Linked DNA regions of Yarrowia lipolytica. The protein of the gene in region 1 purifies or fractionates together with the protein of each later gene. This does not show direct contact. Links are inferred from orthologs where the notes say so. Each region holds a gene or a part of one and is shown in the gene's direction. Other genes may lie near its edges.

Region 1 (8,401 bases):
GCCTCTTCGCTCCTGTCTACCGTCACAGGTCTCTATGTGGCTGAGAACCACGATGAAGTTGCTTCGGTTGCCTCTCAGAACATTGCTGCTGACCTGAACAACGTGCGAGTTCTTGCTGAGGTGCTTCATGGTCTGGTGGTTGTCATGGGCCCTGAAATTGTGGTCCATCGGGAGATTAAGCTGTTGTGTGACTCTCTCTGGTTTGAGGATCCCACGCATGCCATTTCCATCGTGCAAGAAGCTCTTGTCTTCGACGTGTCCATGTTCGATCTTCAGGAGGTTACCGGCCGTCTGTTGGCTTACCTGACCCACGAATCGTCAGCTGTTCGTGATCTGGCCGTCCAAGCTCTACATCAGCTCGTCAAGATTTACACCATCGACCTCTCGGGTAAGGAGCTGCAGATTTGGTTGGTATACAATTCGACTCTATCCGAGGAGGTGGCCAAGTTCATATCTGCATGGGTGGAGGCTTCGGCTGCCGATTCTGGCACTGGCCGAATCCACTGGGTGCTTCGAATCCAGCGTCTGATGACCCTGAATCTGAACGCCACCTCCAGTGGTCAGACTCAGCATACTGAAGATGAGAGTGCTGCCATCACCGTTGGAGAGTCTACCACCGGCGAGCCTCTTCGATGGCAAACTCGAGCTCTTGCCATGGAGTCGCTCATCAAGATTATGGAGGAAGCCAAGTCGACTCCAGCCATTCTGGCAAAGATTGGTGACATTATCCGACTGGCATTTACATGCTCAACGTCCGATATCGTCAATCTTCGTCTTCTCGGTATCAGACTGCTCTCTGTGATTGTGTCTATTGGTGATATTCCCGATCCCGAGTTCCCTGATGTTCCCCTGCTGGAGCAGTACCAGGCTCAGATTTCCTCCGCGCTCTCACCCGCGTTTGGAGCTGATTCCACCACCGAGTTGGCCTCCAAGGCCGTGTGTGTTTGTGGCCAGTTTGTCAGTAGTGGCATTGTTAAGAACCTGGACCGACTACGTCTTCTTAAGTTTCTGACAACTGCTCTGACAGACACAAACACGCTAGAGTGTGTTGGAGACCTCAAGCCTGTGGGTCCCAACAACCAGCTGAAGCTGCGACTTGCCATTCTCGCAGCTTGGGCTGACATCAAAGTCCAGAGTCATCACAAGGATTATCTGCGTGGCCTAGTGACCCAGTACCAGAAGCAGCTGACTCCTCTGTGGATCACGGCCATCAAAGAGTATGCGCAGATCAAGTTTGAACCTGAACCTGGTTTCGACAACCTGTACTCTTCTCTGTCGGGTCAGTCAAGACTCGAATCATACAAGGACACATGGAAAGTGATTGTGCATGCCGTTTCGTCTGTCCCCGACGAGCAGGCGTCGTTTTTCTTTGTGCTGTTTGGTATCTGTTTCGAATACCTGACCCATTCCTCTGATCTGGAGATTTTGCATACTCTCCACAATGTCTGTGTCTCGGCTGGTAATCGCGTTTTTGAGCCTTCCATCTTCTCTGAGCTGCTTGATCTGTTTGATCGTCTTATGCTGACAGTTTCTCTTGAAGAAAAGGCAGTTTTGGCCAAGATTTGCATGCGTCTTTGTGTGTCCGGAGCCTCCCGAACCTCTTCCTCTGACGACTGGGACCACATTACACAGCTGTTTGAGCTTCTTCGAGTGTGCATGGTCGGATTGGGAGGGGTCTTGCCTATTTCCGAGACTCCTGTCAAGTCATACCCTCAAGCTGAGCTCGCTCAATTTGCTCAGGAGACCTTCACGTCTCTATCTGCGATGCTCCAGGCCTTCCCTCCTATTGTGCAGGCCGATCTGGTGGAGGTTTTTGCTCACATCTACCTGAGTATTCTGTCTACCGCCGAGACCCCCATTCTGGCGTACATTCAGTTCCTGCGTGACATTTGTGACGCCATGGTTACCGTGGGTGCTCAGGAGGACATCTCAGCTCTTGTCACTGGCTTCGTGCGGGAGCTCGTGTCAAAGCACTCTGGTTCTCAGAGTGTCATTTCTCTGACAACCGTCATTACCAAGGTTCTTAACGTGCAGCTCAATCATTCGACCATTTCCGACATTGCTAGCAAGTACATTGAGCTGGTCGACAGTGGCGATATGCAGACTGCTCTTGGATGTATTTCCGCGGTGATGGGTGTGTCCAACTCGTCTCCAGCAGCTCGAAACCTGACTTTGGAGCTGATCCCCCACCTAGTGAAGCGTCTCGAAGGTACGGAAACGCGTGCTCAGATTGTGGACTTGCTGTTCAACTATTCTGTAAACCATGCTTCCACCGGCTCCTTCTCCATCATCATGCCCATTCTTGTCTGGCATGCTTCTACGTCTTCTCGCTACGCCAACGAGAAGCTGTTGGAGCTGGCAGGCAAGGACCAGCAGATTTTCCGATCTGTTGTGCAAGCTTTGAGTCCTAGTCAGAAGCAGGTATTGGAGCAGACCTTGCGAGGAGCCCAGGATGATGACGACGACGACGACGACGGCGAATATGAGGAGCCTCAGATTCAGCTCAAGTCCTTCGCATAAGTAGAGTAGGAGTGAGTGGCAGTTGGTCACTAACAGTACAGTAGAAAGATAGAACTATGTACGATGGCATTAACAATTTTTTAAAATATGAATTTACGATGAGTGTGGTAAAATATTGCGACAGGTCTCTCTGTTTTGCGTGTCTGCAATTTTGAATGAGTGGCAGGCACAAATTAAGCTCAGCTCCGTTCCCGACTGTAAGCATGCAGGACTGCATTGCACACGTCATTTGACTTTTTTAACAGAGTATATGTTGAATAGAATTTTAAATAAGGTTGAAAGTGTGCATGAATCTAGCCTGTCGATTTACACCACTAATTCCCGCGCGAGACGAATTAATTGCCATTTTTTTGACCTTATTGGTATTTGAGTTTCTAGTTGAAATTGGAGGGGATTTCAGCTAGAAACTCTTGTCGAATGACCGGAGGAAAGAGTTGATTGTTTTGTTATTCTCTTAATGTCTCGTTGTGGCGTGTTTTTTATTTGTTACATCGGGCCACAGTACGAATACCAGGTTGGTCATGTTGTCCGGTTCAGATGATCTTTCGGTGGATGTTGAAGGGTCCGAGTGTGTTGAACGCGGTGTGTGGTTCTTGTATGTTAGATATAGGATTACAGGGGGTAGTTGCTGTGTTATTAGTGACATGGGACTGGTAGGCTGAGTAGTGTGAGGATTATTTGCTCACTTTTCGTGTTTTTGAGAGGGAAATTACAGAACTTGTACGGGGTCCCAAGCACTCCTACTCGTATTAAGTTTGGTCACTGGGCAGAAAGTATTTCGTTAGATACGAGCTCCGCTTATGAGTAGAGTATGATGCTATGACCGTACAAGTACCAATGGTCATTTATGGCTATTGAAAATACAGTACCAGGTATTTTTGCTGTAGAGTGCATCATTCAGGGGTTTTATTAGATGCGAACTGTGAATTCTGATTTACAGAATTATACAAGTACAAGTACAGTATTATTTTTTTCTGCATGTACAAGTATATGACTGGGGAAGGGGTGAAAATTAGTTGGGCTTGTACTTGAGTTTGACGAGAATCGAAAAAAAGACAACCAGGAAGCAACCAGTGACTAGAATTAGAAATAAATAGCGGTTAACATGCGTAAATTGCAATTGTTCTTCGTCAAGTCACAGGTCTGGTCCCCTTTGCCTTGCACTTCACGTCTCACGGTGCTTGAACGCTGCACCCCTGATTCGTGCACATCTACAGTATAACAGCTTACTCATATAGCAGGTACAAGTACCGAGAAGTCAACTTTAGACGACTTACAAGAGAGGTCAAGAACCAGCAGAATCTCGTCAAAGTGAGATTGCACGTACAAATTATTGTGGAGGTCAAAATGAACTTGCAGGCAGTCACGTATTGCACTAACTGGTTTCGTCATACTGTAAAACTCTCACTCTCATCACCACTGGTCAGATCCACGCGTTGTATCTCTGTCTTCCAATTGGCTTGTCCACCTAATGAGAGCTGGCACTCGGACTGTACCAGGTGGTCACATCACCATTCATTCTTGTATCCATCACTAGACCCCAGGTCCCCCGTCTCTGATCCTCTTTAAATTAACGCCTATCAGATGCTCAAGACGCGCCCAAACTCTACGATCAAACTTTGGCTGTACATAAACCCTTGATCTCAGACTACAGCCTCAGCACGGTACAGTACTCTCTTTCGACATGTCCAAAATCGCAGCTTCCATCGCAGCTATTGCCGGCACCGGTCTGGCGGCCCATCTGTGGGCGGACTCGCCCAGAGCGTCTCTCGACGTGTTCAACGGCTCAACCCCGGCGGTTCCAGTCAAGCCAGGGGAGTTCTTCAAGTACGGCTTCCCCGGAGCAGCCCACGACATTGCCTACCGACAGGAGTTTGTGTCGTGCTACGACCGAGAACGACGTAACCCCATGTGGGTCGTGGAACACATCACCCCGGACTCCATCAAGTCCAACAAGGGCGAGGGAGCCCCGGATCGAAAGTTCTCCAACTTCAAGGAAGATCAGGAGGTGCCGCTCAAGTTCCGGGCTCGGCTGGCCGACTACTTCCGATCGGGCTACGATCGAGGCCACCAGGCACCCGCAGCTGACGCAAAGTTCTCCCAGAAGGCCATGGACGAGACCTTCTTCCTGACCAACATTGCCCCCCAGGTCGGAGACGGATTCAACAGAGACTACTGGGCCCACCTGGAGGACTTTTGCCGACGGCTGACCAAGCAGTACGGCAGCGTGTACATTGTGACCGGACCGCTGTACCTGCCTAAGAAGTACCCCGATGGCAAGTACCGAGTGTCGTACGAGGTGATTGGTAACCCCCCCAACGTGGCTGTCCCCACACACTTTTTCAAGATTGTGCTGGCCGAGAAGCCCGTCAAGAATCCCGGAACCAGTGACGTGGCTGTTGCTGCCTTTGTGCTCCCTAACGACGTGATTCCCAACGAGACCAAGCTTACCTCGTTTCAGACCCCCGTGGATGCCATTGAGCGGTCCACCGGAGTCGAGTTCCTCAACAAGATCACCGTCAAGCAGAAGGACCTGTGTCGAGAAGTCGACTGCTCCATTGTCGTACGAGACTTTACCAAGGCCCTCCCTGCCCCTAACGGGTTGCTGGCTCTTCCCGCCCCTGAAAAGTAGCCTACTGTATATAGTCAAAGAGTGTAGAACATATATCATCATGGTCGCTGTGTTGAGTCATACTCGATGTTTCGGAAGAACTGGAACTATTACTTGTGTGATAACGGGGGAAATGTGCCCTAGAGCTCGTAGAAGATGGCTTCATACGCTACACTGTCCAACCACCTCTCACTTGTGCTACGATCATAAAGCCATGCAAGTGCAATATATTAGTTCCTAACTACTTGTAGTCCCCACTACAAGAGGTAGTTTGTCAAGAGTCCCAGCGACAATTGCTGAGAACATGGCATGTATCTGTTGAGAGCGAGAGTTAGAAGCGCTCATCGAAACCCCCTACTTCGTAGTGCTGCTGCCTACCCTCGCTACGTTGAGCTCCGCTCTCCAGCTAGGCGACAATCCTCAGCACCTCTGCCTTCAATGTTCGCATGTTCACCAGTACCACCTCTCCCGTCTCATCAAACCGCGGAACTGCCACCAGACGCACTGACACTCCGTCATGCTTGACAACACTGGTCTGGAACTCGTCCTGGTTGCCGCAGAAGTACAGGTGGGGAGTTTCCTTGATGATGAAGGGATCGTCATCTCCATAAGGATAGCAAGTCAGGGTATCTGGGGCAGTGGGACACAAGTGCCGCCAGGCAAGCGTATGCTCCATGATATCCAGAATATCGTCTCGTCCTTCGATCAGATATTTGTAGATGTCCGACACGTTTTGTCCCGAGGTTCCCAGCACCTTGAGAGGCGCCTCGTCGGTTGAAAAGTCCCACCAGTAGGGGTTGGAAACAGACCCAAAGGTGGCCTTTTTGAACTTGCGGCTCTGAGGGAACATGGACAGATGCAGCGGCTGCTGAGGAAGCGACATGTTGCCGGGATCGTCGTTTCCTGCCATGATATCAACAGAGATGGATGGCAGCAATTGTGCAATGTACTCGTCAACGCGAGCCATGGGCTTGAAGGCGTCGAGGTCCACGGTTCGAGATAGTGTGTCGATAACGGGTCTTTCTGACTCCAACGAGCAGTTGTTTCCGGCCATAATGAACCGCGAAATGTTTTTGGGCTTTACCAGTCCATCTTTTGCACCATCTTCCTCAAGCAGCCCCTGGAGATATTCTGCCAGAAGCACGTGTTTGTAATCCGTCTTCTTCTGGCCAATGTACAGACCAGAAGCAAGACAAATGTATGTGTCTTCAGGAGTATCATTGTCAGCCATCTCAACGTCTTCTCCGTCATTGACTCCACTCAGAGGTCGATAAATCTGTTCGGGAAAGCCGCCCCAGACCACATCCACGACCGTGAAGCGTCCGTTTTCGCCTGCCGTGCCTAGTACTCCACAAACAACGCCTGTGATGAGCATGAACTCCTGCACCTTTGGTCCCACGAGCGTGATTCGACCGGAGCTGTCCTCCAGCTGAATCGACGAATCGTCCTTGTGTCCACCGTCCTCACAATCGCCCTGAGGGTCCACGTACTTGGGCTTCTTGCCCGGAGGAGCTCCCCAATGGCTGCGGGTCACCTCCTCCAACATGCTGGGTTTGTATTTCATGTCCTTGAACAGTGTGCCGACCACAAACACCGTATCCCCAACAAGAACGTCCAAACACTTGTTGAGGTACTTGACGTTCTTATCAGCCCATTTGGAAGTAGCAGCATCCAGCACCTGGCTCATGAGCTGGTGCAATCGCATGTAGTAGATTGGCGCATACTGACGGTTGTAGTTGCGTTTTGTGATGGGCAACGTGAAGCCATCATTGAGCGAGGTGGCAGTAGTGGGCAGATTTGAACGTATCTCCGGCATGCTGAAAGTGTCGAGTTCTGGTATAGAAAGCTGGAGCAGTATTTCTCGATGGATCAAAATCAAAAGCGTGTAAATTGAACTTTAAAAAGAACCCAAAACCCGTGTACGCGAAAAGAGGGTAAGTAGAAGGAGATGCTGGAGCATGGTAGAGGACGATAGCTAGAGGACGATGAACGTCTATACGCAGTTCTTGAGTTGTACTTTGTATGTAGATATAGTTTCAGAGCGATTGAAGTACTGGATACCACGTTATGGCTGGGATGTTGAGGGAACTCCTATCAACTATGAAAGACGCGTTTAGTTGATATCTTTGTTAAAGCAATTATTTTCAGAGTAGAGCTTTCCGGCGATACTCCAACTCGTAGGAACTCTCGGGGAGCGGCCCCAAAAGATGTAGAAGAATAGGATATAACTGAACCATTACTGTAGCCTGCTATTTCAACATTCTCTTGCGCTGATACGGTCTAGCGGTCTCGCAGTGCTGAGGAAGACCTCACGAACACAGGCAAAGTTGAACGTTGGTATATTTATGAGAAGAAAGAGGAACCATGAGCTGTAATGCTGTCAAAAAGTATCAGAAGCTGTCAATTGTTGGGAATCTGGGCCCCTCTCTTCCCCATGGGACGCGCCATGAATCAACATAGAGGAAGTCGGCAGGTTCTTGTGTTATAGGAGTCACACTGGACGGGCAAAAGGAGACAAGGAAGTACAAACACTTCAAATAGGTACTTCTTTGACGCCATTATTATTGATGAAGTACAAACAAACGAGACTAATAGTCTCGGTAACCCCTAAAAAACACTTCATCATACATCCAACAGTTCGCACAGTAATCAACCACATCACGTGAAACGAGAAATATACATACAAAAGAGGACCAAAAAGATGGCGACATCCGCAGGATTCGAACCTACGCGGGGAAACCCCAAGAGATTTCTAATCTCTCGCCTTAACCGCTCGGCCAGGATGCCATGTGTGGACGGGGTTGGGTTGGTGAGCTAGCTCGAGAGACGTGATTAGTAAGCCCGCCAGTAGCTGAAGATCAGAACTATTGGAGATGATCAGAGAGTCGCAAAAACAGCTTATCAAAATACTTGTTGTTGATTTCGTGAAATGCCAGATTCGGTAAGACTCAGGAGGAGGGAACACATGGCATTCTACGTGACCCCTAAAGAATAAACGGATGTATATATAGAATATCATACCTGTACAAGCACAAGGAGAAGTACTATATAGCTCTCCAATGAACTACCTGTATCTACTAATGCCAACTCTCCTAGCTGGATATTCCTTCTTCCAGACTTGTTGCCGAAAGTTCAAGCCTTCCAGTAGCTCCTTAAAGATGCAATAGATCTCCTAAGACGATTCAAACTACATCAAAATAGCCGTCTTAGACCAGAGATTCCAATGAAAAAGGAATTTAGTCGGAAAACACGCGTCCTTGTCAATTCTAA
Region 2 (8,292 bases), about 240 kb from region 1:
ATGACATCATAATGAGACACATGCGCGGCTCGACGAAGCAATAGGATAATCGGCTGAAGCTGCAATTGGGGAGATAAGTAGCGCTGTGAAGGGGGATTTCTTCCCCAGGACACAAATAAAACCCCCCATGAAAAGCATTCTTTCGATCTTCACGCCACAGAAATTAACTCGGTTATACGAGGCAACCCCCACAGACACGTTTTAGTTGAATGTTGTTGACAGAGCCACCGAGATTAGTTGAGAAGCTCTCAAGATTCTTAATCTGTCACTCGATAATATGTCGATATGATGAGTTTCGGACGTCCAAATTGTTGGTATTTTCAAATTCAATTCGGACCCGTGAACGCCGCACAGACACGGACACGTGCTCTGCTTTGTTTTTTGTTTGGGTCCTGTGCGAGTGGTGTTGAGGAGGAAGAGTGCTCTTACTTGGGTATGCGTCTGTATAACGAGATGGTGAGTGTATCGTACCACTAGTAGCGCTACAGTAGCTACAAGAGTACTACCGTACGAGTGATCTATAAGGTGGCTGTATGGAGATAGACCTGCGCAGAGTGCAAATGATACTCTTCCAGTGAGACACATCTACACAATGTCTCGAAATAGTGCGGGGCGCTGTGGTGTTGTAGTCCAAGACCATTCCGCTTCGCATATGCCTTTTGGCTCAATGCGTCAGTTATGTTACAAATAAATACTTGGTCAACTGCAGTGACCGATAGTTGGTTGATGGTTGATACCTCCTTGCTAGACGCCCAACAACTTGCCCACAGCAGCAGCTCCTCCAAGCACAAACCGCACGAGAGAATCTCCCGCGAGGCTGCCAATGGCGTACATGTTGGGAAGCACCTGAAAGTCGCCGTAGAAGGCATTATCCATGGCCTCGCACGACTGGGCGTCGCCTGGAGCTCCCGCAGCCACGTAGGTGCATGGAGAGGCGCCTGCCGAGTCGGGGGTCTTTGGATCACCGTTGGACACAGGTCGGTTTGTGTGCTTGTGTCCGAGGTCTGAGAGACCGTTTGATGGGTCTCCCTTGTCTTTCCTCGGGTTGAGAATGCGCTTGGAAATCGTATGCTTGTTCACCGTGTAGGCCTCCTGTTGAGCGAGGTCTAGGGCATGCAGGATGCGGTTTGATAGAAACTGCAGAGACCCGGTTCGACCGACACAAATGCGCACGCCTCCTACGTGTCGAGTCAGAACCTCTCCGCCGGGAAGTTCTAGTTTGAGAACTCCGTCTTCAGCAGATAGAATCTTTGTGTTTGCCAGTCCCTCGTAGTGGCATCCGTTTTCTTCAAACTTACATTTTCGAGACGTTGAAACAACCCCATTAGTTGGTTGAGCACCGCTAGCAGACCTTTTCTGAGTTGCAGCTGCCAGCCTCATCCATCTGTAAATAGAAGCGTACTCGGGGTACAGCTCTCTAGGGAATCCTTTTAAAGGACACGGTTTGTCACCCCATTTGAACAAATGAAGCACTCTTCCGCCCTGCTTGAAAGTCGAACTGATGATGTCGGCAGCAGAGAAGCCAGATCCGACCACCAGGGTGACATCTGAGTCCGAATGGTCAAAGTGGAAGAGCCCATTGAACCGTTTGTCAATCAGCTCGTTGAGAGTCATGCCCGTGCACTCCGAGTTGTACAGCAACGACTTGGATGAGCAGTTTGCGTGTTTGTGGGTCTTGAACTGTGACGGTTTGTCGAAAATGCCGGTTGCCAAAACCACATTAGTTGTAGTAAGTCGGCAGGACGGACTTCTCTTAGGCGACGCCCAGGAGGCTGTTTGCGAACTTGGGCCAGAGGGAGATCCAGGAACAGATTCAGAGCCAGGGGTCATAAGACCAACCTGACCGTTGTAACTGACGGAATAGCCTCCCTTGCTTCTGATATCGACCTCTATTACGGTTCCGATAATTAGTGAGTCTGAGATGCCCACAATGTCGGGGTAGGCGTCGAAATACGACGCTATATCTTTCCTTCGAGGCCGCAAAAACTCCGGAGGTGCATTGCCGTACTTTTCTTTGTAATGCGTGGAAAATGGGTAGCCTGGGAGAGACAGCATTTCTGCGTAGCTCAAACATTGGTCATCAGGAGTGGTTGTAGAAGTATCAGATTGAGCCCATTGGCCTCCAGGATGGGTTCCGATGACCACGTGATCAATCGCCCGCTCGGGTTCGTGCACCCACGTGATTCGGCTATCCATTTGGTCCCTACTGACGTAGTTGATCTCGTCTGAGACCACCAGCAGATCCAGAAGCAGGTTGACTGGCAGCATGGACGATCGGAAATGCGGACCCTTGTCGATCACGTGTTGCAAAACGTCTCGGTTGGACACCGCGTCCAGCAGCGACTTGCCTCCCGGCCTCTTCTCATACTGAGCCAGCAGCCTGTGGAGTTCGGGATCAGGATGTGGCTTGTGGGGGTTGTAGTAGGGTATGTTGCCGTGCAGAATGTAGGAGAGACAGAGTCCCGCGGGACCTGAGCCGATGACTACCGTGTTGATAGACATTGTGGCGCGTCAGAAGTTCTCCAAGTCCTCGTCACACTGGTTGGTTGCTCATGTCGACATTTTGCATCAGAGTTTGTCCTTTAGCGCAACAGAGTTGGGCGAGCTTGCAGCGTGCAGTTGTGCGGTGAGTTATGCGAGGTCGAGAGATGTGGGGGTGAGGAACCAAGCAAGTGTTTGTGTTGTGGATGAGGGGAAAAGATTGCGTTTCTCTTTGGTTACTTATCCTTTGCTCCGGTGCTACGTGCTTCAGCTGCTTCAGCCACAATTCTGTCGTGCAATACGCTGCTGCAACTGTCACATCTGCGCAATTTGTCAGCCACCCTAAGCTCACATTCTGCCTGGTGCGAATCCTCCAAGCGTATGAGACATGTCCTTGTGGCGAAAGAGAGCCGCAAATCAGGTTGTGACAAACGGCATTTCGATTGGCCAGTCTCGAGATACGCCATATACAAACAGAGCTCTGTATCCTGTGTCTCATCAGCTATTTATAAAGCCGACTTGTAGATGCGGGCACACACTGCACACCCGCCAAAGGACCGCCCAATCAGCAAAGGAGAAACGAGTTGGAGTGACACAAGAACCGAGTGTTTTTTTCAGCTTTTTTATATAAGGACGGCTGTCCCGCGCCCTGGCGAGCAAAGTACTGTACAGTACTTGTACGATACAGTAGCACCGCGCGCCATCTTGGTGGGTCTTGGTGTCATCCATCAGTCAGCTTGGTTCCTGTGCCTAACTGTAATTGGCGGAGTCCAGTGGACCCGAAATCACGGCGTTGGGCCCGTCTCAGGCGTGTGGGGGTAAGTGGGGGTACAATATGAAGATGTAGCTGTGGACGTACCATGTGCAGCCGTCGTTATTTTTCGGGTTTTTTGCTTTGTGTCATGGAGTAGCCCCTTTTATTTCTCTTTCAAATTTCACCTTTCAAATTTCACCTTTCAAATTTCACTTTTCAAATTTCAAACAATGGATTACTTCCCGTCTTGAAATCGAACTGACGATACTAACTGTATACGCCGGCACTTACAGTACATTCGACATGATGCATTGGGTTTGGACGTGGCAACTGTTACGTAAGTGAGAATCAGAAGAAGTCGGTTAATTCCCTCAATTGGTGGGTTGGAGCGATATAACTCGTACGTCTAGGTTTCCTGACATTCAGCTATTGTCACATTTAATATCTTCTCGAAATATCCTTTCCTGCCCTCACAATAAGCAACTCTCTTGCAGTTACCCGCTACACTCACTTGCTACGCTACGATTACAATACAAGTCTAACCATCAACACTCCCCCACACCCCAACATGTCCGTGTCCCAAACCGATTCTACCGTGACTGTCACTATCGGCTCGTCCGAAGTCAAGATCCTACGATACGGAGCCACCGTCCTATCGTGGACCATTGACGGCAAGGAACAGCTGTGGCTGTCCGAGTCTGCCAAGCTCGATGGCTCCAAGGCCGTGCGAGGAGGCATTCCTCTTGTTTTCCCCGTTTTTGGCAAGTCCACCGAGGGCCCCACTTCGGCCCTTCCCCAGCATGGCTTTGCACGAACCTCCACCTGGGAGTACCTTGGTCAGACTTCGGAGAAGCCCGTGGCTGCCATCCAGTTTGGTCTGGGTCCTGAGAACCTGTCTGACGAGGCCAAGAAGCAGTGGGACTACAACTTCACTCTGATTTACACCGTGACTATCGACGACGCCAACAAGACTCTCGAGACCCGAATGTCAGTGGAGAACGCTGAGCAGAACAAGCCCTTCGACTTCAACATCCTCTTCCACACCTATCTGCGAGTCCCCGAGATTGCCAACGTCGAAGTGACTGGTCTGCAGGCCGTCCCCGTCAAGGATAAGGTGACTGTTTCTTCCTACGTCGAGCAGGCCGCCAAGGTGACTGTATCCGGAGAGGTCGATCGAGTGTACGAAAATGTGCCTGGAGCTGTCAATGTCGATGTCGAGAACAAACCCTACCTAACCGTCACTCGAGACAATATCAACGACGTGGTGGTGTGGAACCCCTGGACCGAGAAGGCCGAGGGTCTCGCTGATTTCACCCCCAAGCAGGGCTTCCACCATATGATCTGCATCGAGGCAGGAGACGTGGCCAAGTGGCAGAAGCTGGCCGCTGGCGATAAGTGGGAGGGTGGCCAGAAGATCAAGGCTCATTTGTAGACAAGTGTACAACGAGTTTCTTAGGCGAATGAATTTATTGTTGATTTGGGGGACCCGGAGGATTGCAACCGTGTCAATGGATACGATTGACTCATATTTCTGTTTCCGAGACGTAGTTATAGGATTTCAAGCTGACAAGCAACGGATTGTACCCCCTATCTCCATATATAACCAGCACTTCTAACATACAGTATTGTAGCAACATGTACTGAGCGGAAAGAAGTCAAGCTGCCCACGAGAGCATTGCTGAACAGTGCAATGTCATAATAAGAAGGATGTTAGTACATTATTCCAAATCTTCCTGTAAGAGAAACACATCAGTCATATTTACACTCATCACTTCCCAGGTCTGTATGCTCTAGGATAATCGACCAGCAATCGCCGTTCTGGGCTAGTGTCGCACCTCTGTATGCTCTGCATCATTCCTTCTTGCACATCTATTTTTGTTAGTGGGTCCATTGGAAGGTGCACATATTGGTGCACATATTGAGGCTTTCTGCGATACAGAAACGGGATATAATTATACCATTAGAGTCGCTGGGGAATTCTGCATTTAATGGCATACATTTTCTTCTCCTTTCACGGGTAATTTCGTCAGTTGTCGGACATATCGTTAACACCAAGTGCGCGCCTCCGCTACGCAACCTTGGTATGTCCGTCCATTTATCAGCACCTTATTTTTGTCCGCCCAACCTTGCTTGTAAGGCGTACGGTTCGAGAAGAGCCGTTACACCTTGCCGAAGGAAGCAAACGCAAAGCAGGTTGTTGATCAGAATAGGCTTTTAGAGGACATGCCGAATGCGAGGGAAGGTAGCAAGTTTTGGGTGAAGAGGCGGAGGTATTGAGATGGGGAGGTTTACAATCGATTTTTCGAGTCTTGTTTACTCGATTCGACCTTTTCCGCGACAAAATTGACCCATTACAGCCCGTTTTTATTGCTGCCATCTTTTTCTATCACTGTCTAAATCTGCTACAATAGTATGAACTGAATTGGAGCGAACCTTCATAATTGTTCCATGACATGACAAACTGACGGACATAAGAAATGCAATGTAGATGAAAGTTGACGGAGATCAAGTACATAGTGGAGGATATATAACAGTGCACTGCTGCCGGAAGATACCTCCTGACATCCCATAACCCACACATCCAACACACAAACACAACATGTCTACTACACCCACCACTCTCATCACTGGAGCCACTGGCTTCATTGCCGGCCATTGCATCGAGCAGCTTCTGAAGGCCGACCACAAGGTCATTGGAACGATTCGATCGCAGGAGAAGGGCCAGCGATTGGCCGCTGCTTTCCCCGAGGCCATCAAGACCGGCCAGCTGGTGTTTGAGACTGTTTCCGATGTCCGATCCGAGCAGGAGTTCAAGACTCTGTTCCAGAAGCACACTGACATCAAGTATGTGCTCCACACCGCCTCTCCCTTCCATTTCAACGTCGAGGACCCCGTCAAGGATATGCTTGAGCCTGCGGTTGAGGGTACTCTGACCGTCCTCAAGACCGCCAAGCAGTACGCTCCCCAGGTTGAGAAGTTCGTCATCACTTCGTCTTTCGCCGCCATGATGAACTGGCACGAGGTTGGCGACTCCTCCGCCGTCGTCACCGAGAAGTCCTGGAACCCCGTCACTTGGGACGAGGCTGCCCAGAAGGGCAATGTTGTCGTAACCTACCTGGGCTCCAAGAAGTTCGCCGAGAAGGCCGCTTGGGATTTCATGGAGTCTGAGAAGCCCTCCTTTGGCCTCACCACTGTCAACCCTGCCTACGTCTTTGGTCCTGGTATTGCTATTGATGCCAAGGCTCTCAACACCTCCAACGAGGTCATTGTCCAGGGAGCTCTCTCTACCAAGCCTGGTCAGGATGCTCCTGCTGGCCCTGCCCAGATGTGGGTTGACGTGCGAGACGTGGCCAAGGCCCACCTGTCTGCCATCTCCAAGACCCTAGACAACCAGCGTCTCATGCTGTGCGTGTCCAAGTTCTGTAACCAGGATCTCCTTGACGTGATCAACGAGAAGGTGCCTGAGCTCAAGGGAAAGATTGCTACCGGAAAGCCTGGAACCGGAGCTGAAACTGACAAGGAGGGCTTTCAGTTTGATAACGACCAGACACGAAAGGCTCTCAACTACGACTGGATTCCCCTTGACAAGTCTGTGGCTGACTTTGCTAACCAATGGCTGTCGTTCCAGAACTAAAACGTTCGAGAGCGAAGCCCGAAGAGTCCTTCCAGTGATTTGACTGACCCCATAACCACCAATAGATATAGATGAATGGATAACTTATAGAATCATTCAACTTAGAGATGATAGAACGCGGACTACACAAGTACAATACTGTACTCGTACCAGTACATACCATACACATAACGTAACCCAACATATATTACTAGAGATGTATGTACTCGTCGCACGAAAAGCAAGTGTCTGACTGCCTCTTGCAGACGCTCAGCCTGCGGTTTCGTCATCTGCTCTTACAACTTTGCCTTTTCTTGAGTGCCCACACCTCCACTGGTAGCAGCAACATTGCCTCTGATACCGCCGTTCTCAGGAGCCTTCTCATCGCCAAAGAAAACCACCGTCACGGTCAGGTCGTCTCGGTATCGCCGTGACTGAGGAGCAGGGATGCTCAGAAGCATGGACAGCTGTTCCCGATCGGCTCCTCCAAGAGCGTTTCGAATCAGGTGAGTTGCCACGTTCTCATCCTCAACAGTGGGCTTGAGAACGGCACCCTGGTGTCGGAAAGGAGGCTTCATGGCGTCCTGGTCGACTGTCAGATCAACCACCTTTGTCGAGTCCTTGCTGCCAAACATCTTGTCCCACATTCCTCCAGACTTGGCCGAAGCGGCGGTGGAAGACTCGGTGATGGGGTGAGTCTCCATCCACTGCACGACCAGAGACACCACCTCGTCGTTGGAGAGCATCTCGAACAACCCATCGGAGCCCATCACCAGAAAGTCACCACTCTTGACCTTGGTGGTAGTCACCTCAGGCTCAGCTGTGACGTAGGGAGGCGACCTCAGCTCCGGAGGCGTGCTTCGGCCGAAAAAGGCACGTGCCACCTTATCTTGCAAGTCACGTGTCCACTTGTATCGGGCGTCTCCAAACGCTCGGGTGGGTTCCAGACCGCCCAGAACTCGGCCCCGTCGAATCACACGGTCCTCTTCGCCAGGATGCTCTTTTCGGATTCGGTCAGCTTCTCGCTGGTTGGAGCCAGTCTGGTCGACAGACAGGGCACGTGCAGTCCATCCAGAAGAAGACTTGGAGCCGAGAACAGCACGAGAATCGCCGGTGACAGCAACTCGAAGAGTGTGAGACAGGGTATCATAGAATGCCAGCAGACCACAGGATCCAGAAACGGCGGGAGCCAGCGTCTCGGGAGACTGGCCCTTTTGGGGGTTCTTGAGCAGTCTGTTAATGGAGTGGATGCAGATCTCGTCATCCAGAGCCAGGAAGCCTCTCTTGATAGCCAGATCGATGGTTTCAGGGCTGGGAGTTCGTCGTATGTTATCGCCAAGCGTCTTGCCAGCATCGCTGTAGCCCGCATCAAGCTGTCGAATCACATAGTTGATGAGCTCTTCTCTGAGCTTGGCAGAGGTGGTCCAGCCTCCATGGCCGTCAT

Evidence for each region.
Region 2: the proteins of YALI1_D06638g (region 1) and YALI1_D09055g purify together in Saccharomyces cerevisiae (affinity purification with mass spectrometry; 4 studies listed by BioGRID, with this or other methods). This does not show direct contact. The link is inferred for Yarrowia lipolytica from reciprocal best matches to the Saccharomyces cerevisiae genes NUC1 and YMR099C.

What each region holds. Positions count from the first base shown.
Region 1 is NC_090773.1:659,617-668,017, forward strand, and holds YALI1_D06638g (uncharacterized protein), read left to right. Parts: upstream 1-4,204; coding exon 4,205-5,152; downstream 5,153-8,401. Other genes in the region: YALI1_D06572g (uncharacterized protein), read left to right, coding at 1-2,520; YALI1_D06665g (uncharacterized protein), read right to left, coding at 5,538-6,947. UniProt on the Saccharomyces cerevisiae protein: This enzyme has both RNase and DNase activity.
Region 2 is NC_090773.1:901,032-909,323, reverse strand, and holds YALI1_D09055g (uncharacterized protein), read left to right. Parts: upstream 1-3,803; coding exon 3,804-4,667; downstream 4,668-8,292. Other genes in the region: YALI1_D09068g (uncharacterized protein), read right to left, coding at 745-2,502; YALI1_D09034g (uncharacterized protein), read left to right, coding at 5,835-6,869; YALI1_D09004g (uncharacterized protein), read right to left, coding at 7,145-8,292. UniProt on the Saccharomyces cerevisiae protein: Catalyzes the interconversion between the alpha and beta anomers from at least three hexose 6-phosphate sugars (Glc6P, Gal6P, and Man6P).